Kluyveromyces lactis: one gene and its partners. The protein of the gene in region 7 interacts with the protein of the main gene of each other region in a pairwise test. Links are inferred from orthologs where the notes say so. Each region holds a gene or a part of one and is shown on either strand. Other genes may lie near its edges. The genes, in order: BNR1, PEX19, PEX21, PEX2, STE20, PEX11 and PEX13.

Evidence for each region.
Region 1: the proteins of PEX13 (region 7) and BNR1 interact in a two-hybrid assay, tested with the Saccharomyces cerevisiae proteins (2 studies listed by BioGRID). The link is inferred for Kluyveromyces lactis from reciprocal best matches to the Saccharomyces cerevisiae genes PEX13 and BNR1.
Region 2: the proteins of PEX13 (region 7) and PEX19 interact in a two-hybrid assay, tested with the Saccharomyces cerevisiae proteins (4 studies listed by BioGRID, with this or other methods). The link is inferred for Kluyveromyces lactis from reciprocal best matches to the Saccharomyces cerevisiae genes PEX13 and PEX19.
Region 3: the proteins of PEX13 (region 7) and PEX21 interact in a two-hybrid assay, tested with the Saccharomyces cerevisiae proteins (2 studies listed by BioGRID). The link is inferred for Kluyveromyces lactis from reciprocal best matches to the Saccharomyces cerevisiae genes PEX13 and PEX21.
Region 4: the proteins of PEX13 (region 7) and PEX2 interact in binary tests that used the Saccharomyces cerevisiae proteins (3 or more experiments, as listed by UniProt). The link is inferred for Kluyveromyces lactis from reciprocal best matches to the Saccharomyces cerevisiae genes PEX13 and PEX2.
Region 5: the proteins of PEX13 (region 7) and STE20 interact in binary tests that used the Saccharomyces cerevisiae proteins (3 or more experiments, as listed by UniProt). The link is inferred for Kluyveromyces lactis from reciprocal best matches to the Saccharomyces cerevisiae genes PEX13 and STE20.
Region 6: the proteins of PEX13 (region 7) and PEX11 interact in a protein complementation assay, tested with the Saccharomyces cerevisiae proteins (2 studies listed by BioGRID). The link is inferred for Kluyveromyces lactis from reciprocal best matches to the Saccharomyces cerevisiae genes PEX13 and PEX11.

The regions. Positions count from the first base shown.
Region 1 is NC_006042.1:1,002,513-1,006,626, reverse strand, and holds the start of BNR1 (formin BNR1), read right to left. Parts: upstream 2,801-4,114; coding exon 1-2,800. Other genes in the region: POT1 (acetyl-CoA C-acyltransferase), read left to right, coding at 3,787-4,114. UniProt on the Saccharomyces cerevisiae protein: May organize microtubules by mediating spindle positioning and movement in the budding process. Potential target of the RHO family members.
Region 2 is NC_006041.1:441,699-444,338, forward strand, and holds PEX19 (Pex19p), read right to left. Parts: upstream 1,404-2,640; coding exon 501-1,403; downstream 1-500. Other genes in the region: E2 SUMO-conjugating protein UBC9, read left to right, coding at 1,748-2,221; SYO1 (Syo1p), read right to left, coding at 2,564-2,640. UniProt on the Saccharomyces cerevisiae protein: Required for proper post-translational import and stabilization of peroxisomal membrane proteins (PMPs).
Region 3 is NC_006041.1:1,384,491-1,387,222, forward strand, and holds PEX21 (Pex21p), read left to right. Parts: upstream 1-1,311; coding exon 1,312-2,232; downstream 2,233-2,732. Other genes in the region: TDA11 (Tda11p), read right to left, coding at 2,436-2,732. UniProt on the Saccharomyces cerevisiae protein: Receptor that mediates peroxisomal import of proteins containing a C-terminal PTS2-type peroxisomal targeting signal via its interaction with PEX7.
Region 4 is NC_006040.1:37,093-39,738, forward strand, and holds PEX2 (ubiquitin-protein ligase peroxin 2), read left to right. Parts: upstream 1-1,411; coding exon 1,412-2,146; downstream 2,147-2,646. Other genes in the region: KLLA0_D00396g (Zn(II)2Cys6 transcription factor domain-containing protein), read right to left, coding at 1-270; NUC1 (ribonuclease), read right to left, coding at 2,199-2,646. UniProt on the Saccharomyces cerevisiae protein: E3 ubiquitin-protein ligase component of a retrotranslocation channel required for peroxisome organization by mediating export of the PEX5 receptor from peroxisomes to the cytosol, thereby promoting PEX5 recycling.
Region 5 is NC_006038.1:1,190,256-1,194,391, reverse strand, and holds the start of STE20 (mitogen-activated protein kinase kinase kinase kinase STE20), read right to left. Parts: upstream 2,801-4,136; coding exon 1-2,800. Other genes in the region: putative ubiquitin-protein ligase UFD4, read right to left, coding at 3,562-4,136. UniProt on the Saccharomyces cerevisiae protein: MAP4K component of the MAPK pathway required for the mating pheromone response, haploid invasive growth and diploid pseudohyphal development. Links the pheromone response G-protein beta gamma subunits to downstream signaling components.
Region 6 is NC_006041.1:177,014-179,486, forward strand, and holds PEX11 (Pex11p), read right to left. Parts: upstream 1,206-2,473; coding exon 501-1,205; downstream 1-500. Other genes in the region: DNA replication protein PSF3, read left to right, coding at 2,218-2,473. UniProt on the Saccharomyces cerevisiae protein: Involved in peroxisomal proliferation. Promotes peroxisome division and biogenesis.
Region 7 is NC_006041.1:1,756,182-1,759,034, forward strand, and holds PEX13 (peroxin PEX13), read right to left. Parts: upstream 1,728-2,853; coding exon 501-1,727; downstream 1-500. Other genes in the region: KLLA0_E19713g (uncharacterized protein), read left to right, coding at 1-181; MMR1 (Mmr1p), read right to left, coding at 2,246-2,853. UniProt on the Saccharomyces cerevisiae protein: Component of the PEX13-PEX14 docking complex, a translocon channel that specifically mediates the import of peroxisomal cargo proteins bound to PEX5 or PEX21 receptors.

The DNA of each region.
Region 1 (4,114 bases), on a different chromosome or scaffold from region 7:
CATAGGGTTCGAAAGATCTAATTATACTTTGGGGGATAGTTTCGAAGTCATCCTTGTTAAAGAACTCAAGAACGCTATGATTCTTGATTATATCATCGTCACACCTTAGTACTTTTATCAAAAGGTCTTCAACAGAATATGAAGAAAACATATGTAGGTTGATTCCAAATTGTTGAGCCAGATCCCTTGACAAAAGAGAAACTTTTTCGTTCTTCTTACTAGCTGTAACGTTGGATTTCTTCTTCATTCGAACTGCCTTCTGTTCAAACAAGTTCACAATCTCATTAAAGACACCCTTTTCATTTAAGTCCTCCTTTAAGTCACTCCTAGTTGTTGGTTCATTCCAAAGTGTGTCACTAATATCCTCTATCTTGTCCCAATGAATCTGCTTCAACGGTTTTACCTCTGGTTTAGGCTTAGACACGAATGTCACATTGTTAGCTAGAGGTAATGGTGGAGGAGGAGGAGGAGGCGGTGGAGGAGGAGGAATGCCGTCTGTTGGTTTTCCTGGGAGGGTTTCGTTTGGGAATGCAACTGATAAAGATGTATCTTCTACTGTGGATTCCTTGTTCAGGGATGACAGAGTTGATGGTAATGGTGGAGGCGGAGGTGGAGGCGGAGGTGGAGGCGCGACATTTGACGAAGCACAGGAAGCAGAACTAGTTACTAGGGCCGGTCCATTGGTCATTGGTGAGGTGAAGGCTTCTATACTTTTCAGTTGAGGCGGTAAAGGTGGTGGTGGAGGCGGCGGAGCCGCTGGTGCTGCAATAGAAGCAGGAATCACAAATGCTGTTTGGGCTGATGGAACTTCTGTGGTCGTTGCTGATACTACATCATTACTGGAAGATAGTTTTGGGAGTGCTGATACCTGATGGAATATGTCGTTCTTGCGTGGATATATCGGAGTCACTGGAAGGTCATCGTCAGAATTGTTATTCAAGATGTTATAAGGGGTAGAGTGCGGATATTTTGACTGAGGTTTTTCATTTGCAACAGTGGATAGCGATGCTATACGTTTACTTTTTGATAAGGAAGTTGATCGTTGAGTACCAATAAGCGGTTTATGTTCTTTTAAAGTCTCAAACAGTGACACAGAACGTTTTGGTGTATATTCTGCTACATCTCTATGGGCGATAGTGAGATCCAACTGTTTCTTTTCTTTCTTTAGCTGATTTTCTACAACTTCCAATCTGTCTTGCAATTCTTCTATTCTTATTTCCCTTGATTTCAAAAGTTCTTCTTTATTTTCTAATTTCTGCAGTAGATCCCCTTTGGAAACCTGTTTGTCTTGTAGCAATGTATCCAATTGAAGTTGTATTCCATCAAATTCTTTCTTCTTTTCATCCAGTTCCATCATTGCTCTTTTGGCAATTTGATGGGATTGTAAGTTATCCATTATATGATCTAGTGAGGTCATGAAAACTTGTTCCGTGTTGGTTTCATCAAAGCTACCATCCAAGGTATGTTCGCATAGATAGGTTAGAATAGAATTGAAAACATAGAACAGTTTTATTGAACCTTCCGTTGTTCTTTCATTTACTAGCTCCAAGATCGTTTCTATAATATTGCAAATAGGCGTTTCTAACGGCGTATCTTTAGTATATTCGATTAAACTCTTGATTTGAGGACCATAAGATATTTCACTCAGAAACTCATTTTTGAACTGTTTGTCTTGCACCTTCAATTCAAGTTCGATATACAGGTCTATGTCCTGATTCAAAGCTGATGAGTCTAAATCCTTCATTAGCCGGAAAACCCGGTGTATTCCAGCTCTCTTCCATCTTTTGAAACACGCCAGTTTTAGATCATTGGAAGGCAGAAGTTGTTGAATGGATTGAACCAGTAACAATGTAGATATAGAGTAATCTACGAGCAATTCTTTTGGTTTTGGAAGAATTAAAGAGTTGTTAAACGCATAATCCTCCGGGTTTCGAAGAGTCATTTCTACTGCCTGGATCCAACTTTCGTAGCACAAATCTAACGATTCCAACAAAGAATCTGACCATTCAGTGGAATATGTCAGAAGGATCACAATTTGGGTAGATAAAAGACGAACTCTAAGGTCAGTTGTGAGCGTTCCTAAAAGGCAGAAGACGTAAGTTATCCAATCATTATTCTGGAATATCACAGATCTTGCTGAAGTATCGTTAAGCAATGCTTTATAACAGCATAAGTACACGTACTGGGATTTTTTATCCAATAAATCAATGAACCCATTCAAAATCGAAACTCCGTTTGCATTCACAAACAGCGAAATAAAATCAGCATGTCGAAGTAAACGTTCCAATTGATAAAGTGTTTGAGTAACCGAGAATCTCTTATTCAAATTGCTCAAAATCATATGTAAAGTATTCAATTTTGAATCGTCTTGCATCGTTATATCACCATGTAGTTTCTTTTCCTTCTGAATCAATTCCCATTTACGGGTATACGACAAGCTTTTCAAATTTTGCTTAGCAGTACCTAGAAACGCATGTCCATTCAATAACTCTTCAAACTTGGCATCAATTTCTTGTTCTGACGGTAGCTGAGTGTCTGCTAAACACATTTTATCCGTTTTAGAAACATGTCGCGTAGAATCAACGTTCGGAGTTGAAAAGTTGTGTGATTTCATGTATCGCAGGGTCTGGGAGCGAGGTTTGAGCCCTGTTCCTACTAGATTCAGCCCTTGTATTACCAGATCATCGTTGGAATCATTGCTAGAAAACCTGGTCTTGGCATTTGCAGTCGGAGCATTAATGGATCCAGATCGAAGCGGAAACAAAATACTAATGGATTTTTCATTCTTATCAACAGTCATTGGTCGGTCAAAGTTTGTTGATTTTCAGTTGCAGAATTATAGCCAGAAAAGTGATTTGATACTCATCAATACAAGGAAAACGCGATCATTCAATAATGATCTGGGAGATAGCGAAATAATTTCACTAGATAAACGCTTGTACAAAAAACAATTTGTCAAAGAAAACGATTAATTCTAATGATTAGCAAAGCTGATTGTAGAACAGTTTTAGACTCTCTTCAAGTGTACGTATTTATGGATTTCCTTTGTGTTACAAAACATGTGTACTAAATTTCATACGCTTTTAGTGCTTCATTTTGTTACGTTCCTTAATAGATGGATCAAAAATTAAAAAACGTAAACAAAAACAGGATCAAAAGCTCAGAAACGCACTTTGGAAAGGAAGAAGAGACCAGAAGGAAACAGTACGCGACACGTGAAACAATCTATAGATACTAGTCACGTGAGTTGGATCTTCTTTGCTACCCGGGGTAAGTTTTTTCAACTTGGGGGTTACCCCGCATGCGACGTTGGTCTTTCATTTTTAGGGTATTTCATAACGAAAACCGGAATTAGTGTGACAATGCCGATCTCCAATTCTACGACATAGCCTTGAGCAAAGGCAAATTTGAGACTGTAGTTAGATTAAGTCAGGATCATTGTTAATGACATCGTGGAGCTCCGTAAAGTTTCTGCTTTTCAGTGTTGATGATTAACTGCGAGCTTAATGGCCGTGAAGAAGGGATGTATGCGATCATTAAATCCTCTTTAACATACTCCAAAACGACGGCTGGTTGGTTCTGCTCATTGTTCGTTATTCCCCATATTTATTTTAGCGAGTGATCCCTTTGACAAATAATTTTTTGTATAAATTACGTACATAAATGTGTCATGCTGACATTATTCCTTTATCACTGACTTTTATCAGATGAATTGATTGACAAGTGAACATCATAGGGCAAGATATAAGTATACTACAGGCGAGTACAGTCAATCAGAAATATAATATGGCTAGCAGACTTCAACAATTAGAGAAACATTTGACAGGACGCAGTTCTGAAAAGGATATAAAGAGTAAGAATCCGGACGATGTGGTTGTTGTAGCTGCGTATCGTTCAGCTATTGGTAAAGGGTTCAAAGGAGGATTCAAAGATGTTAACACGGATTATTTACTTACACAGTTTCTGAAGGAATTTTTTGAGAAAGTTGACATTGATAAGAGTGTCATTGAAGAAATTGCGTGTGGTAATGTGTTGAATCCCGGTGCAGGTGCGACAGAACATAGAGCTGCGATGTTAGCTGCTGGTTTGCCATATCAAACTCCGTTAGTGGCTA
Region 2 (2,640 bases), about 1.3 Mb from region 7:
TCACTATGAAACAAACTTCGTCCAAAATTTTAACATGGTTTAAGAAGGTAGATCAACTCTTTCATATTCAATTTTCTTTTATTTTGGTTTTTCCATGCTCGAACATAGGACTGTGACAAAAATAGAATACGAACATTCCTCAATTTATTTTGTAAATATGCGAACATATGCATGTAAGAACAAACATGCTGTGTTAAAGAATGGCTAAAAGAAAGGGTGCTCTTTGAGAGGGAAGTGTCTAATGGGAGATACTCAGAAGAGTGCACTGTCCCGTATACCTTATGGCAAAAAGTTGTCACATATATTCAATCTTGCATAGTATATTGGTTATTATTGGTTTAGAGCTAGTCTCGTGATTTCAGTCCTCAATATGAATTTCAAAGTCGAAAAGAGAAAAATAGCCATATTATTCGAATATCATACTAATAGGCAAAGAGTGAAAGAAATAGAATAATAGTTTATTATGATTAAATATTATATTATGAGCTCATATACACATTTTATTGCTGTTTGCAGGTATCTTCAAGGTCTTTGTCGATGTTACCTAGATTTTCATCTCCTTGTATTTCCAGCATCTTGGCTAATTCTGACATATCGTTTCCAGGATCGTTACTAGTTCCCTTTGCAACCGGTGAGTCACCGAGTTGCTCTAGTTCATCCAATAGATCTGCGATCTCAGCATGGTACTTTTCATTCGTATAATCATCGCTTTCGAATACACCGATGATCTGATTCACAAGTGCATACTGTTTCTTGTAGTTATCAATCTTGTCGCTGTGTTCGGGGTCTTCTTCGTGTAATCCCATCCACTCGGTGAATTCTCCCTGCATTTGTTTCATCGGCTGATATAGCACTTCTTTAGAAGACATTTGTGAAAGCATTTTCAAAATGGCATTGTCCATTCCTTCTCCGTCCGTACCGTTGCCATCGCCGTTTTCCACTAGTTGATCTAGCAATTGGGAAAGAATATCGTCTGAGTTCTGATTTTTCTTCTCTTCCTCCAAACTTTCATCCACTTTCGTAGAATTTTCTTTCAATCTATCTAGGGTGTTGGAAATGATATTCTTGAAACCAGTACCGCTCTTCAATTGCTCCTGAACGTGTTTTACACTGTTATGGTCTTTCTCCTTCGATGCATCTCCAAGTACAGTTAGCAATGTCTCGAAATTCTGAACCATTTCTTGGTCAGTATCACCGCCTTCCTGCTGCATCAATTGTTGGAACTGTTTCTGCAAATCTTCCATCATCTCGACTACTTCTGGATCATCGCTCTGCGTAGCAGGCTCACCCTTAGTAACTGCCTCATTTGGAACAGTTTCTTGTTTTTCCTGTTCATCCAGTTTGCGTGGATCCTCTAAATAGTCATCCAAATCATCAAATTCGTCAACTTTGTTGTCTGACATCGTTTGTCGAAGTATCTGATTACTATCCGTTGAAATTTTGGTGGTGCGTAGCCCTTACTATTAATTATACCTCAGTTAAGGTTTCTTTAGTCACTGTCAATTCTGAAAAATATCACTTTTTCTTCAAAACACTATTGATGCTTTTTCTACAATATCAAAATCATCTTCAAAATCACAAACAAAAAGACGTATCGCACGGAATATCATATCCTCCAATTATTCAACAACGGTAAATCTGAGTTAAGGCTCTATTTACAACAGGGCGCAACGTACCTTAATATATTTACGGTATCTGTATATTAAAGCGACTCGACGATCAGAACGGCCGAATAATATAAACAGTCATGAGTAGTCTTTGTCTACAGAGGTTACAAGAGGAGAGAAAGAAGTGGAGAAAAGATCATCCTTATGGGTTCTTTGCCAAACCAACTAAAAAGACAGATGGATCTATGAACTTGCAGAAATGGGAGGCTGGTATCCCTGGAAGAGACGGCACTCTCTGGAAAAATGGTCTTTATCCTTTGACCATTGAATATCCTGATGACTATCCGTCAAAACCTCCTAAAGTGAAATTTCCAGCAGGATTTTATCACCCTAATGTTTATCCCAGTGGAACCATTTGCTTATCAATCTTGAACGAAGATCAGGACTGGAGACCTGCTATCACCTTGAAACAACTCTTACTTGGTGTACAGGATCTTTTGGATTCTCCGAACCCTAACTCACCTGCGCAAGAGCCAGCTTGGAGAGCTTTCTCGAAAAACATTAAGGAATATGAGAGGAAAGTCTCAGAACAAGCTCTTAGGTATACCAAGTGATACCTCCATAATACAACTTCGGAAGTAAACCATTTACTGACAGAGAAAATGCAAATACGCAGATGACGGCAGATATCAACTTGCGGGAAACCCTGGGCCTTCCCCAGCGTAAAGCGCAAATCAAATAAATTTGCTGTATTCTATGGCTCGATTTATTCTACGGTGTTGACCATTGTTATATGGCTGTATAGAGATATATCATAGGATGGAACGATCCAGTAGGTGTATAGTTCTCGTGTAAAATTTAAAATTAATATCAAGAATAATGCTAATGAATACTTGATTTATTCAATTATTTTGTATTTTACTATTATCAGGTGTAGACTGTATATATTTATTGTTTTATTTGTTACGTTCATTTTGTTTGTATGCAATAAAACTATCCAATGTAGAAAAGCAATCCTGACATCTTTCTTTCA
Region 3 (2,732 bases), about 370 kb from region 7:
AAACTGGACCTGAAATCTGGGTGAAGAAGCAACGACTTAGCCGGAGGAAAAACGGTTCTTGCCTTGCTGAATGATACCGGATAACTATAAACTAATCTGAATATTCAGCTACTGTTATATAATTATCTAAAATTGGATACTGAACCCAGGAAGGGTATCAAGATATATTCTCCGTTTATACATCAATTTTTCATCATTACAATATATTCTCTTTCTCTAATGATGCAACGGAAAATTGACAAATGACCAATAAATGGGCGACTCATCTGGCACCAATCGAAAAGAAATACACGATGACTGACTTAATTAATTTAACCGGTACAGTACCCAGCCATGTGATACCTAAATTTGATGCCTTGGCTCGAATAAAGGAACTTAAGCCATACGAGTGAACAGGGCAGCTTTCGCTGCCCTGTTCACTACTAAATTGCCTGTTCAAATTGGCTTTGCCCTTTGGCAATGACAGATTCTATTTCTTTTTCTTCCTTTAACTACTGGCATATTGAGTTAAGAAACACCTGGGAATGATCTCCGGGTAACGCGGAAAAAAAACCCACCTCTTGCTGCACCCCTTTTTTCATTGTCCACACTGTGCTTTGCCCGATTTTGCGGGTGTCGCACGACGACGGAGTTTATTTCCGCCGTTTCAGGCAAGGGAAGAGCTGAAACGGCTGAGTGACGGGTGGCGGCCGGGTAAGGAAAGAAAATACACTGATTACATAATACCATCCACGTGACGTAGTCACGTGGATGGTATTATGTAATCTCAGAGTTGAATGTCCGAAAGCATTCTTTTTTTTTTTTCTTCCTTCCTTTTCCTTTTCCCCCGGGGTTTAAAAATTCCGTTCCGTCCCGACCGGCATTCATTATGCAACTAATCGTCTTTTAGATTATCAAAATGTCAAATGATTATTCCATTTCGACCGAACTACCGCCTCTCCACTTGCTTACGTACTGTTTTTGGGTTCCCTCATCTAATAGCTTCCTCAATCGGCTAGAAGTGCCAGTACTGGTCTTCAGAAGTCCATAGAAAGCCTCACTGTTACCCGGGGGGTTTGCGCATCTGTCGCTCTTTCACTTTTTTTTTTTTTATTCACTTCCATTCCACATCTTTCAACCGTTAGTGGTCTGAACTTGTTTCATTTCTTTATTCATAATTTCTTTCTTTCGTCCAGGTTCTGCATTTATTATATATATATATATATATGTATATAAATAAAGTTTGTACATTGCTTGTTTCGATGATTTGCGGACTAGTTGTCTTATGTCTGTTGCTCGAGGAGACTACCACCAACCAAGAAATATAATACCATGTCAGTGTGTCAAACGAATCCTTTGAACACTCTTGTTTCGAAGTCTGGTTATAGGTTCGGACAGCCGAATCAGCACCAACAGAGCATCGCACAGCAGCAGAGCAGACCAAGAAATAATGCACTAGACCACCAGTTCTCTCAGTTTACTGGTGCCTCGGGTCCCAGTTTCGCTCATCCACAGCATCAACAGCTGCCTATGGCAGCTGTTGTTGCTAACGCTACTACTGCAGCCAGTACTACTAGTAATACTGCTACAGCCTCTGATCACCATGTTTGGATCGATCAGTTCGCAAACATGCAGGTGCACGACAAGACCGAGTTCCCAACAGATTATAAACAGATGTATTCGCAGTACGAGGCGCGTGGCGCCTCGTACTCCATGGGTGCACCGGTGATGGTGTCCCATTCACAAATGTTCCCGCGTCATCAGCAATCTCTGATGGTGAACCAACTCGAGTCACAAGCGTATGCCAGTAGTAGCGCGAAGCTCGATGAACAATTTGCTGAACTGGAAAGACAAGTGCAAGACGATGAAAAAGAACAGCAACAGGACAAGGATGACGATTTCCATCTCAAAGAAACGTCTCCTCTAGACGAAGATCAACGCCAATTAAAAGAAGCAGCCCAATCCATTTACACAACTCTTTCAGATAAATCATCTACAACTAGTTCGAAATTTTCGAACTCCAAGTTCCTTGGACTCATGAGAAATATCAGCGATGGTGTAATAACTCTGAAAAAGAACCCAGATGAGGATAAATATACGGAATTATATTCTCCTTCTACCGGTGAAACTTTTGGCGAAGAGTATTTCCCAGTGCAGGATAGTGTTTTAGGCGACCCCTTGGACTCCATTGGTGACTTATCTAATATGAGTTCATCGGAAGCCGCTGCAAAAGTGTACCATAACTCCGTTTGAAAAAAAAAAAATAAAATGGTATTACTAAGTATGAGTGGAGGGGTATTTCTCTGTTGTCAGATCTACTGTTATTTTGTCGATACATATTGAGTTAGAGTTACTCTACACTCACGTGGAAAATCACCTGGCAGGATCACCATATTCTACTTACTTCCCAATATTAGATTAACTTAGCTAAAGCTTAGTTCCAAAAATAATCTTATTTAATGACTATAATGATACATTTCAATCTCTTTTGCTTGAGTTGATGATTCTGCCTTTCTTGTGCCGTAATCTTCCATATTGGTAGCAAGACCAGTCGCTATCGTGCCTATAGACCCATCAGCATCTTCTTCCTCTGTTGCTAGTAACCCAAGCCCGTTTTTAAACTCATTTACTAAGGACCAAATCGCACTTCCCGCATTGTCGTCACCTTTTGGCTTGCCCTCTGATTGATTTTCAGTTGCACTGGATCCCGAGTCGCCTAATCCTAACTTCGTTTCAACGGTCCCCTGAATAAT
Region 4 (2,646 bases), on a different chromosome or scaffold from region 7:
TCTATAAGCATTTTCCTCGTTTTGATCATCAATGGACGTTGAGGATACAACTGAACTTTTTAACAACCGTTCGACACTTCCCTTGACACATGAGACACTGTGATGAAGCTTTTTAAGTTCATCAGACCGACGCGGTGGTACGACGTAATCCAGCGTACACACCAAACCACGTTTCGAACAGGCAGTGCAAGGACCGGGTCTTGTGTTTGCAGAATCACATTTTACCTTGTTCTTTCTGCATCTGGTACAAGACCGCAACGGTTTGAGCATTTTTAATGTTAGGAAAAAAAAATTTGGGGCACGCAGAGGTACGAACGGATGGTAGCCAGTATCTGCCAGCGGCACTCAGAGAACTAATGGGATGAAATCTGCGCGTTATCCCAACAACCACTGGCAAGTGCCCGCGTATATCTATACATACACTTACATTCACATCCATATATATATATATATATATATATATTTATGTACATATAGATGGCTTGATATCGAAAAGCAAATGTAATTAAAGCATTATAAAGTAACTCATCTCCTAGAATTAGCTTTAACCGAGGAAAAACTCTGGAGTTTCGAACTTCAAAATAACAGGAGATTAAAAAAACTGCCAGAAAGTCCTAATGGCCCTTAAGGTGGGCTCTCAGTAATTCCCCGTTGATGACACTAGCAGGCAAAAAAACAAACAAACAAAGAACCAGGCTCTGAACCGAACCCTTCTGCGATTGACGGAACCAGTCCATAACCCTGTGTGTCCGATATTTTTTTGTGGTATATTACCGGTGCGGTATGTAAAAGCATCCCCGTATAATAAGCTGCTTCCCAATATTGACCGAAAAGGCTCACTTGACAAAAACGGATGTTGTAGACTATTCGGTGTATATCACATAAGCTCAGGTAAGCTGCGCTGCGGCGTTTAGACACACTTTAATAGATCAAAACGTGAAGCCTACGGCCCAAAAAAGTATTGTAGCATTTTCTGCTGCATTCTCCTTGTTTGATTGACTGTGCTTTTTTTGCTTGCAGATTTTTCTCTAACTCCGCGGTAGAAGCTCTCAGTCAGATACGTACGAAACGAATAACTGAATAGCCTTTGGCATAAAAGTACCGAGTACAAAGAGCAAAAAAAATGCCCTCGAAGTAAGGATAAACTGGAGGCCATCCAAACAACGGGGAATATAATTTCGGAGTTATCGCAGCCCTGGTCTCATAGTTCCTGGTATCCATACTGTCCGATTGTATTACAGTGAGACATCTATCTATATCAAGAGAGATAGGTACTGTGTTTTATTATCTGGAAGTCACGCTGCTGCTTTATTATTTTGCAATTTGTACCGGTGAAATATTTCATTGCTAACACTAAGTAACGAAGGGTAGTGAGTGTTTTAAGCGCAATACGTTATCTGTCGATCCGAATATGTCAAGGGTTGCTCAATTAGATGGAGTTTCACTTGATCTGCAGCTCACCAGGGCACTTCAATCGGATTTGGGTTTTCCTTGTCCGCAGATAGTTGTTGAAATTCTGGTATTCTTACTTGGGAGTAGGCGATGGCATCAGGGTAGTGTCGCAACATATGGTAGTGTTCTCACTGGTGTTGGCTATCAATGCTCTCGTTGGCGGTTATTTGCTGTTACCGTGGTATTAAGACATCTGTTGCATCGGTTTGAAAGGACCAATTTGGTTTACGAACTTTTAGATTTGATCCATCTTTTACAATTTTTAACGTCGGGTACAGGTGGTCCCTCTCTTTTGCATCGATTGTTCCGAGTCCCTGCAGTGTTCCAACCGGGATTCTCGTATTCTGATACTACTTCAGGATCATCAGCATCTGAGGTTCAGATGCTCTGGAATGCTTCCATTGAGATGATAGCTGGTCTATCGTTATTTAAAAACGGATTCGTTTCTGTGACAAGTACTAACGCAGCTGCGGTGGCAGCTGCAAAGGCTATTGCCGGTGGTAGTTCTTCAGTTGGGGCCCCTGGTGAGAAGTTTTCGCAAAAGAATACTTTATGCCCTGTTTGTGGTGAGGTCGCTACAAATGCATTTACAATCACTTGCTGCAATACAAGGTATTGCTACACTTGTGCGTTGGAAGTGGAACAGTCACATTGCCTAGTTTGTAATACTAAGAACCCAAAATTCTTTTGCTAAAGTGTTTATTATACCCTATATATTCACACCTAGGCCAAATCTATATACGTTATTACTTCCCAGGCAATGCTAAAACAGTATTATTAAACTCTCTTACAGTTATTTCGCACCGCACTTGTTTACACAACTCCTTCTTCTTCTCCTTTGGAACATTCTGCAACAGCTGCAGGCCGGAACTCCTTTCTAATGCATTGACGGGTACTTCAAACTCTATTAATGTTGTAGAGTTCGAAATAGGAGCATTTGGTAAGACAAATGCGGCAACGTGCAGCTCATCATCACGACCATTTCCAAGCTGCTTAGGTCTTTCAGCCACGACCAACTTGAAAAAATGCGTTGGGACTGCAATGTTAGGTGGATTTCCAATCATCTCGTATGTGACTTTGAACTTACCGTCTTTGGGGTCTCGCTTCGGCAAGTATAAGGGACCTGTCATAATTCGAACACTGTTGTATTTATCGACTAATTGTCTGCAGAAATACTCCAAATGTGCCCAGTAA
Region 5 (4,136 bases), on a different chromosome or scaffold from region 7:
GATCAACCATTAAACACCAATTTAAGAACATAGCCATTTTATGACTTAAATTTCCAGGATCCTTTAGCTTTGGCGTACCATTGGTAGCGATCAAATATAGAGCTCTTAGTGGTGTCTCATTCAGATATGGTGGTTCACCTTCTATCATTTCAATGATCATAATACCAAGAGACCAAATATCAACCTTTGGTCCATATTCTTTTCTTGATACGACTTCTGGGGCCATCCAGTACGGAGTACCAACCATCGTCGTTCTCTTCAAATTTACCTCGTTAATCTGAGCACAAAAACCGAAATCTGTTAGTTTGATGTCTCCGTTCATGGATAGCAAAATATTGTCTGATTTAATATCTCTATGAATGACTCCCTTTGAATGCAAAAACTGTAAACCCTTGAGTGTTTCTCTAGAGACGGCACCGATTTGCCCTTCAGTCAATATACAGTGCGTAACGACATCAGTCAACGAACCACCTTCCATGTATTCCATGACAACCCATAAATCACCTCTAAATAGGTATGAATCAATGAAATTAACAATGTTGTTGTGTTTGCTTCCTTTCATGACCAGAATTTCATTCACAATTAACTCTTTCTTGGGTTGTTTCTCCAAATTCATCTGTTTTATTGCTACTGAAGCATTTGTGCCCAATTCATACGCTGTGTAAACTCCTCCTGATGCACCTTGTCCGATTTTGATCAGATTCTTGTACAGTTTGCTTGGGTCTCCTGTTGTGCAAATCTCGGTTAATTTTGATTGAATTTGTTGATTCTTTCTTTTCCTCTCTTCCCTCTTTTTTTCCTGGGCCTTTCTTGTCTGGACATTAGAAGTATTCGATTCCTCTTTCACTTCCACAGCAAGCCCGGAAGGAATTGCAGGTATTGAGGATTGTTCCGGTGTTGTAGGAATTGCAGGTTTTGGTGGAGTAGGAGCCGCTCTTGCAGGCAATAAATTTGCTGGTTTTTCTGCAGCCTTTGGAATAGGAGGTAATGGTTGCTCACTTTTCAATGTTGGCATCTTCTTGAATGAGAAAATGCTTGATGACTGAGTATCACTTCTTTGCACTTTTGGTGTTCCATGGCCAAGCGAATTGATTGGTGAAGGGATTTCGACCCTACGGCTAACTGTGGAGGAACCTTGAGGTTTTGGAGCAGGCCGAGTCGGTATGAACTTTTCGTTGTTCACAGTTTCACTGAAATCGTTAGTGAGCAGCGGACCCTGTAAGTTACTAGAGTATGGGGTATCATTGTTTTCATTCGGAAAAGTTGCATCTGTTTGCATTTGCGGAGTTTCGAACTTCTGTACTGATGCAGTTGATGGGGTTCTGAAAGAAGGTGTAGATGCAATGTTTGCACCAGAGCCACCTCCTACTTTGAAAGTCTTGAAGACTTTCTCTTCTCCAGAGTTTTCAGTAACATCTTGGTAGAATTTTACAATATCCATCACAGCCTGGGGATGTTGCTGTTGTTCTTTCATACTAATGCCACTGGAAGTTAAAAGTTTCTCCCATTCATTTGGTAACCCTGTATATTCCCCTGTTTTGGAGTCAACACCTACATGATAAACATGCTTAGCATTATAAGGAGTAGAGATCTTAAATGCATTATTTCCACTTCCATTACCGCTTCCGCTAGAAATTCTTTTCTCTGAGTGTGAGTTCCTCTTGATGTTTTGAACGAATGTTGAGAAAACACCTTTCTTCTTAGTACCGGTCTTCCTCTTAACATCATTAGAGGAGGTGGAGGAATTAGAATTCCTCTGGGAGTGGTCAGGCGTCCCATGCTGACTCTTAACGTTTTTCCTCAGAGAAGAAAACGGAGAAGAAATGGTTCTGAAGGGGGATCTTGATTCTGATACTGGTGTTTGATTTTCGAAAAAGTTATTCACCATTACGGGAGTTTTAATTGGAGGATCCTCATTTGTTGTTTCTGGATGTGGTTCTTCTTCAGGTATTACTTCATGCACACTTACGTGTTTCGAATGATCTGCAGACGCTGTCGATGCCTTGTTGAAACTATCTGTAGATGATAATATCTCATTTAGCGGGGACTCATATACATCATTGGCATCAACTTCAGTTATAGGTGTTGTAATCTTTGGAGAATTTGAGGTTTGTGTGGAATTTAGGAAGTCAGAAGAAGTTTCCAGGGCCCCGCCCATAAGAGAGAGATCAGGTGTCATCCTCCCGCCAGTAGATATTCTACCTATATTTTGGGAGGAACCTTCTATAGTTGACATCGTCTTATCTCCAACAATAGATTCAATTGTCCCTGGCGTCTCCTTCGAAGTCAAATTATTTCCTTCTTCCACTTTTCCTTCTAGATGCGATATTAAATCTGCATCACCTTCCGATATACTTTCACTTAACACAGAACTGGAAGAGACTCTTGTAAATTGTATCGGTTCATCCAAAGTTGGCTGGTTACTATTAAAAATTTCCGAAACATTTGTTGGTACGGTGCCCGGTTTCCCTGGATCCATAGATTTATAATCTGAAAGGTCTTTGACGTAATGATCTTCGTCTGATTCTTGTAATCCTTTCACATCCAAACTCGCTGGTGCACGAGGTAAATCAAAGAGATCTTTTGAGACAGATTGTTCCCTAGTCTCCGTTACTTCTGTATGATCCTCTAGAGTTTGTACTGAAAGATTTTCACGATGTACATCCTCTTGTTTTGAATCTTGATTTTGACTTTTGCGTATGCTACTGGTGTCACTTTCTGTATTGCCACCATTTTCTCTCACGGAAAGCGCATCAAATGTGCCTGGTAACAATTCTTCAGTATATCCAGTATCCGTCATTATATGGAGACAAAGTAGTGAGTGTAGTAGCTTCTATCAAAAAAAAAAGGCCTGTGTCAAAAGATGTCTTGTGGTTAATTCTATCGACCGAACAAAAAGGAAAGGTATTCCGAAAAACACAAACAGGTCTGTAATGATTTCTAGAGCATACAACCGTCAGTAACAAAGCCTGCTGTGGCCGTGTTAATTTCTGTCAGAAAAAAAGCTAGATTACTTTGTTCAAAGAATAGAAGATCAAGTCAGATAAACAATGAAAGAAATGACAAAACGTGCTCTGTAAAATTCTTTCTACCTTCACCTCCTTCTAACTTAAAAACGAGAGCCTGTTGTGTAATTCAGTGTAACGAACGTCTTTTGATTGCTAAAATCACACTCTCGCCAAAACAAACAAATAATGTGTGCTTGTTATTAAAAAGATCCAAAAGAAGATGGTATTACCTGGTATTACTCTCTGAAATACTTGTCAAATCGGCAGAGATAGCCTGATTAATAAAATTTAAAACCTAGTTCTAACACAAGCCACAGTTAAAGCAACAATTGAGCTTGCTCGTTTCTCTAATCTGCTTATAAACATGCATACCATCTGATCTTTACATTCCGTTTGTTTAAACTCTTAAGCTTTAAATTTCAGTTTCAACATTTTCGCCAATCCCAAAGAGTAAATCCTGTCACATGTCACGAAAGTATGTGGTATTGAAATCTTTAGTTAGGGTGGAGTATGGTTAGATCTACAGACATCTCTATGTAGTTATATACATATTCTATGACAATAGGAAGGCTCCGGAACCTTCAGTCATTGCTTGTGCAATACGATCTTTGAGTACCAGTTTATCAGAGTATTTTGGTAGTTTCAAGTAATTGGCGCATGTCATAACGCTAGGTAGGCAATGGTCTGCCGAGATGTTCCCATCTGGGTGCTTCAGGACTACTGTGAATTTGGGTTTTAAGTTTTTGAAACCGCCAAGAGGTAGTTTCGGAGAGCCAGTGATGAATTGTAAGAACAAACGTTTCTGTTGTGTCGAAAAATTCGACAAAATATCTATGAGGTCTGTTATGATTGGAGAATCCATCGAGTAGCCATGGTCTGCATGAATGGATGAGTATAGCGTTTGCACAGACCAATCTTCAGCAACTGCACCAAACAAATCGGATAGTTCTGTCGGAGTTAAGATTAGCAATGATGAATAAGGGAATGATTTCGAAAATCCGTTCCTGAAGGCAGCGAGCTGCATATCTACGCCTTTGCCCAAAAATTGGTCAAAGACACGAATCAAGTACTCTTCCACGTTGAAAGATTCAACTAAGATTTTCGAACCACCTTCCAACAATTCTATAT
Region 6 (2,473 bases), about 1.6 Mb from region 7:
TTTTTAACAATCTGCTGTATTTCGAATACCAGATCAGATTAACAACCGGCTTTTCAATGAAAAGAACAGAATGAAATAATCCCAAAGCGATTAGTCTAAATTGAGGAATATCCACCTATAAAAATAGTGGTGATGTTATCCCGCAGAAGCAATGAATTACGAATAGAAGTGCAAGAGTAGCCGCGAATATGGTGCTCGCTTAATGTCCTCGATGAAATGGAATTTCAAGTAGTTTTCAACAATTTCAACTTTGAAGCCTGTCGAAAAGTGTAAACATCAACAAGTGCGGGTAACATTGGTATTAAAATGATGAAACAATGGTGATAGTATATCCTAATAGCTGCACAGACATCTAGTTAATACGGAGGCATCATCAGAAATTATCCCGGTACCAGCTGAAATTACAATTATCAACATATCGAGTAATATGTTAAGTTGAAAGAAGATACATATAAATATATATATATATATAAACTAAATTAAAGGGAAGGAGAAGTCCTTTAAGCAGTCTTCCAGACATCTTGTAGACCAAAGACGGATGTAGCGACACCAGCCAGGGCGACACTTGATTCGTCATTACGCAAGAATTGCAAGTTATTTAAGACAATGAAAGTATCGATAGAATCCCAGATTAGTCTTCTGAATGCGGCGAATCTCTCATTGTAGTAAGCGGTCAACTTTTCAGAACTAGCCTTTTCGGTTGGTGCATTGCCCTTAGAACTCAAAGAGGCTTCGATCTTTCTTTGAGAAGTGTACAACTTACGGACATCGGTGATCAAACCAGCGATCAACGCAACGAACCAAAACCAGTTTGTGTAACGAGGAACTTTCTTGGCAGTAATAGGAGTAGCTGGGATTAACTTTAGGATGCGCAACAAGTTAATTTGATCCAAAGTTAAATACCCAACATAACCCACATTTTTGATTATGGACAACCATCTAACCCATTGATCTGGAGCAATCTTGTTATCGTATAATTTGGCTGCGTCCTGGATATGATTCAATGGCTTGAAGAATCTCAAAATCTTTCTGACAGACGTGAATTCAGATTGTAACTGTCTATTCAAACCAGATCTGTATTGAACGGCAAGGAATCTAACCAAGTACTGTAGCAATCTCAAGATCTTTTCTCTGCCGGCTGTTTTATTCAACAAAGAAATGAATTTGGTCAACGTAGGATGATAAATAACTGTGTCTAAAACCATTTTTGTTTGTAAAACTTATAAGTTTAGATGTGGAAGATGACTCAGGATAACTGGCTCAGTATTTCAATTGATTTCTGAAGGAGGTAGAATATTGGAAACAGTATATTCAAACAAAGCACTAGAGAGAGATTGTATCGCAGGTGCAACGTATTTCAACAGAGTCTGATGAGATAGGAATACAAGGAGTAGTGAAAATGCTTAAAACTGCTTGTCTTTATTTTCAGCAGTCATTTTCTACTTTATATATAAATATATATATATATATATAAAGTGTGATGTTATACTTCATATGTCAATGGGCATAGATCAAAGCAGGGTCAACAGAAAATAGTCAGGCTCTACGGTAAAAGGAGAGGATTTCCACTTAGCAGCGAAACGTACTTTATTATCAACTTCTTTCGGGTCCCCCACAAAAAATGGGAGGGACAAGTCAGAGCTGCGAAGTTACTAGCACGGAAGATCCTGCTGTATTAAGGACATTTGTACCGGGGGAAGACATGCAACAATAGCAATCTTACTAGGTGAAGACTGGGATCCCGGGAAAAAGGGCGACATAATATTTAGTATGTAGGCGCACATTTTTACGTGTATTTCGGACCAAATGTCCTTCCGCTAACAGCTTGAAAAGGATGGCCCGATTTGTTCCGAAACTCGAGAAAAAAAAAAGGGACAACGAGAAAGCCATGTATGCGAATCGTGTACAGTGATATAATGACGATTTTGTAGTGTGCAAGCATCAATCACGTGATTTATATCATCGAGATGCATTTCCTCTCAACATCGCGAAACACGTAAAAAAGAATCGTTAACTAGCGAGCGATGTCTTCTGCTTTATAATACTGCGTTCTTTTCTATTGTTTACATTTAGAGCCATCAAGCCCAAACCTAAAATCATTTAAAGCATTTGTATATCTCATATTGAAGAAACGCCAAAAGTAAGATTACAATTCCAAATACCAGCCTATATTTTGCCGGTTCAGCTTCCTGAGAATCGCCTTAGATTTATGCCGAGATGGGATACTATGATATAGATGATATACTGGCTGATGGTACTAGATTTCCCTGTAGATTCAACTATGACGTTCCTGGGTTGGGTTATCTGGAGGGAAACCCAGGCAGACCAATATCGAAAAATGCAAAACTAGAGTTACCACTTTGGATGGTCCATCTTCTTGCTGTAGTGGGTGCGCAATCTAATGAAGATTCTAGAGTTGAAGAACCTCTTCCTTTTGTCGAATTGCTCCCGCCTGATTTATTCGCTCCAAGAG
Region 7 (2,853 bases):
TATGACAGGGCAGGATGCCAAGGAAGCTGCTGACACGGCTTCAAACAAGGCCAGCGATCTTGCAGAGAAAGGTAAGGAACACGCCCAAGCCAAAGGTAGAGAGGCTGCTGCCAAGGGTAAGGAAGCCGCTGCCAAGGGTAAAGAAAAACTGGAAAATGCTGCTGACAAACTAAACGAATAAAAATAAGGAATGAGATGATGATAAAGTCCGGAATGTCGATGTCCTCTTTTCCCAATAAACCAAATTACCTGATCCTTTAAGCAGCAGGGTGACAATAAACGCCCTTGTGCTAATATTCTAGCATTCCAAATGCCGTATCTGGGGTTCGAGCAATGGAATAATAAATGTGTAGTAACCACAAATACATATATAACGTGAAACAAGAGAAAAATACAACGTAATTCTTCTTAATACTTAGTCTGAAACTTTCTGAAGCTATCACATCTTTAACTTAGCATTTGTGACCCGCCATATTCAATTCTTGTCCATCACCATGTAATCACTGTTGATTCTGTAATAGATGGTCTACCGAGGTTGAATCCGCCAGTTCTTCAGAAGTATTCGATTTCTCAGATTCAACAGGTACGCCATTTTTCCTTTTCTTAATCAACTCAAGATAGTTGTATGGAACGTACCCAATATTTCCTTGTTTTGTTCTGACTTTCCACCATTCAGAGTTATTTCCTAGTGGATCTTTCTTGGAAATGATTGCCATTAGATCTCCTTTCTTTAAGTTACATTCAATTCTTGGATTCTCAGGAACGAAATCATAGATCGCTCTTGCAAATTCTAGGTTATTAGGATCTAAGATTTGTTGTGCCATAGCGCCGCCAGCTATTTTGGCTTTTTGGTGCTGTTGTAATTTCTGAATAAATTTGTTCAAAAGGTACGGGAAGCCGAACACAGCTGCTAAAAACACAATCAATGGTTTCCATGAAATTCTTCTACCCTTTTTCTTCGTCAGATCTGAGTCCCTGAATTCTTCGATAAATTGTTTTGAAAGATCTGAGCCCTGGCTCTTTCCGCCCTCTATCCCTAAGCGCTTTTTGGAAGGCGCTACTCCCATCTTACCACCTGTAACTCTGTACAAGATCTTTTTTACGAATTTTATCAAGGCAAATATACCAAAGAATGATCCCAAAAGCTCCTTCATATATTGAAACTGTTCCGCAACGGTTATCATAGTGAAAAAAGAGTTATGGGTAGCCATATATGTAGCTTCTAACATCTGGGCGAAACCAGCAACGGCTCCTATAAGCCCTTCTATTAACTGGAAAGTTGCCTGTGTTGACTCTGCAATCCCCGAGGGTCCTCCATTCATACCGTTCATACCGTTCATCCCATACATTGATCCGAACCCTCCCCCATACATCGACCCTAAACCACCGCCGTACATCGACCCTAAACCACCACCATACATAGAGCCATAACCACCTCCGTACATGGATCCATATCCACCACCCATGGAACCCATTCCATATCCTGTACCTAAACCTCCACCATACGCCGAACCATATCCAGACATACCATTTCGAAGAGGGTTTCCCCCGTTCAAAGAATCCATACCCTCATTTAAACCGTTCGGTTTGGATGGTAAGTCAGGCTGATTACCAGATGGTTGCAACGCACTGCTATTCTCAGTAAAACTGGCATCAGTTCCTAAACTCTCAACTCCATTTTTCTGCTCCCAGGGCTTCGGTCTGGAAACACCTGCCGATTGTGACATGACTACTGATGCTCTAATAAATATGAACTTCGATCACAGCACTTAATAGAAGCCAAAACCGCTACAATCGATGTGTATTCATCACTGTCGTTACCTGTATTTAAGCTCCACGACATGATTCAATGTTACTTTTAGAATCATCGTCAATCTTTGAAATATGCTTTGGCCGGGTAACAAGTTACTATTTCCTGCGTCGTGACTTAAAGACAATAGTAGATATCGTCTTTTCATCAGCAATAGACGATATCTTTTCCACGAAGAACCGTTGGATACTTGAATGAAAATCCTTATTTCCTTCTTTTAAATATTTTGTATTTAAATTGGTTCCGAATGACACGCATATTATGTATATATGTATCCTTGTTATTATTGAAAGAATGTATAAAAGTTCGAAATGAAGCAGCTGCAATGTGAGTTGAATGTATCTACTACAAAGCTTTATCAGCAGCATTGGATAGTTGTAAATATTGAATCGAAAATGTTGTCCGTATTATGCTTGAAAAAAATTTGTAATTATCTTATGAAAAGTCCTTCTTGTGTTTGCTTTCTTCTAAAGAAGTTAATTGTATGCGTAAATTGAAACCATGCTGTAGTCTCGTTGGATTAATACTCCCCGATAATACCTCGCCTTCGTCACAATCTAATGTCGTAGTACTGTTATGAGCGGTAGTGTTGTCGGGATCGCTGATATGTAAACTAGATTCATCTGGCTTACTCTCCGATTTGGATTCAGCCAGCGCGTCGAGTTGTTCAACTGTTAAGTACTTTACCCTGTTTTTCCTTGGGCTCAGTCTGGATTCCAAAGCCTTCTGAATTCTTCTGCATTTAGCTAATTCTTTCTCTAGCTCTTTTATCTTTCCTTCAACAGCGATCTTTACTAGTGCATCTGATTTGAATGGTGGTTTATTCGATATATTCTCCCGTGACCTGTCTGAATTGTGAATTATGAAGTCTGTATTTGATATTCTTGGTAATTGTTGTATATGCTGTAATAACGAGCTGCTTTGGAAGGTCAAGGACTCATTTGCTCTCGTTAAACTATTGTTGATATCTTTTAAATTCTCGTTATCCAAATGCAATTTATCGTTATCCAGTTTCAACTCATCAATCTTCAGTTGAAGTTTCT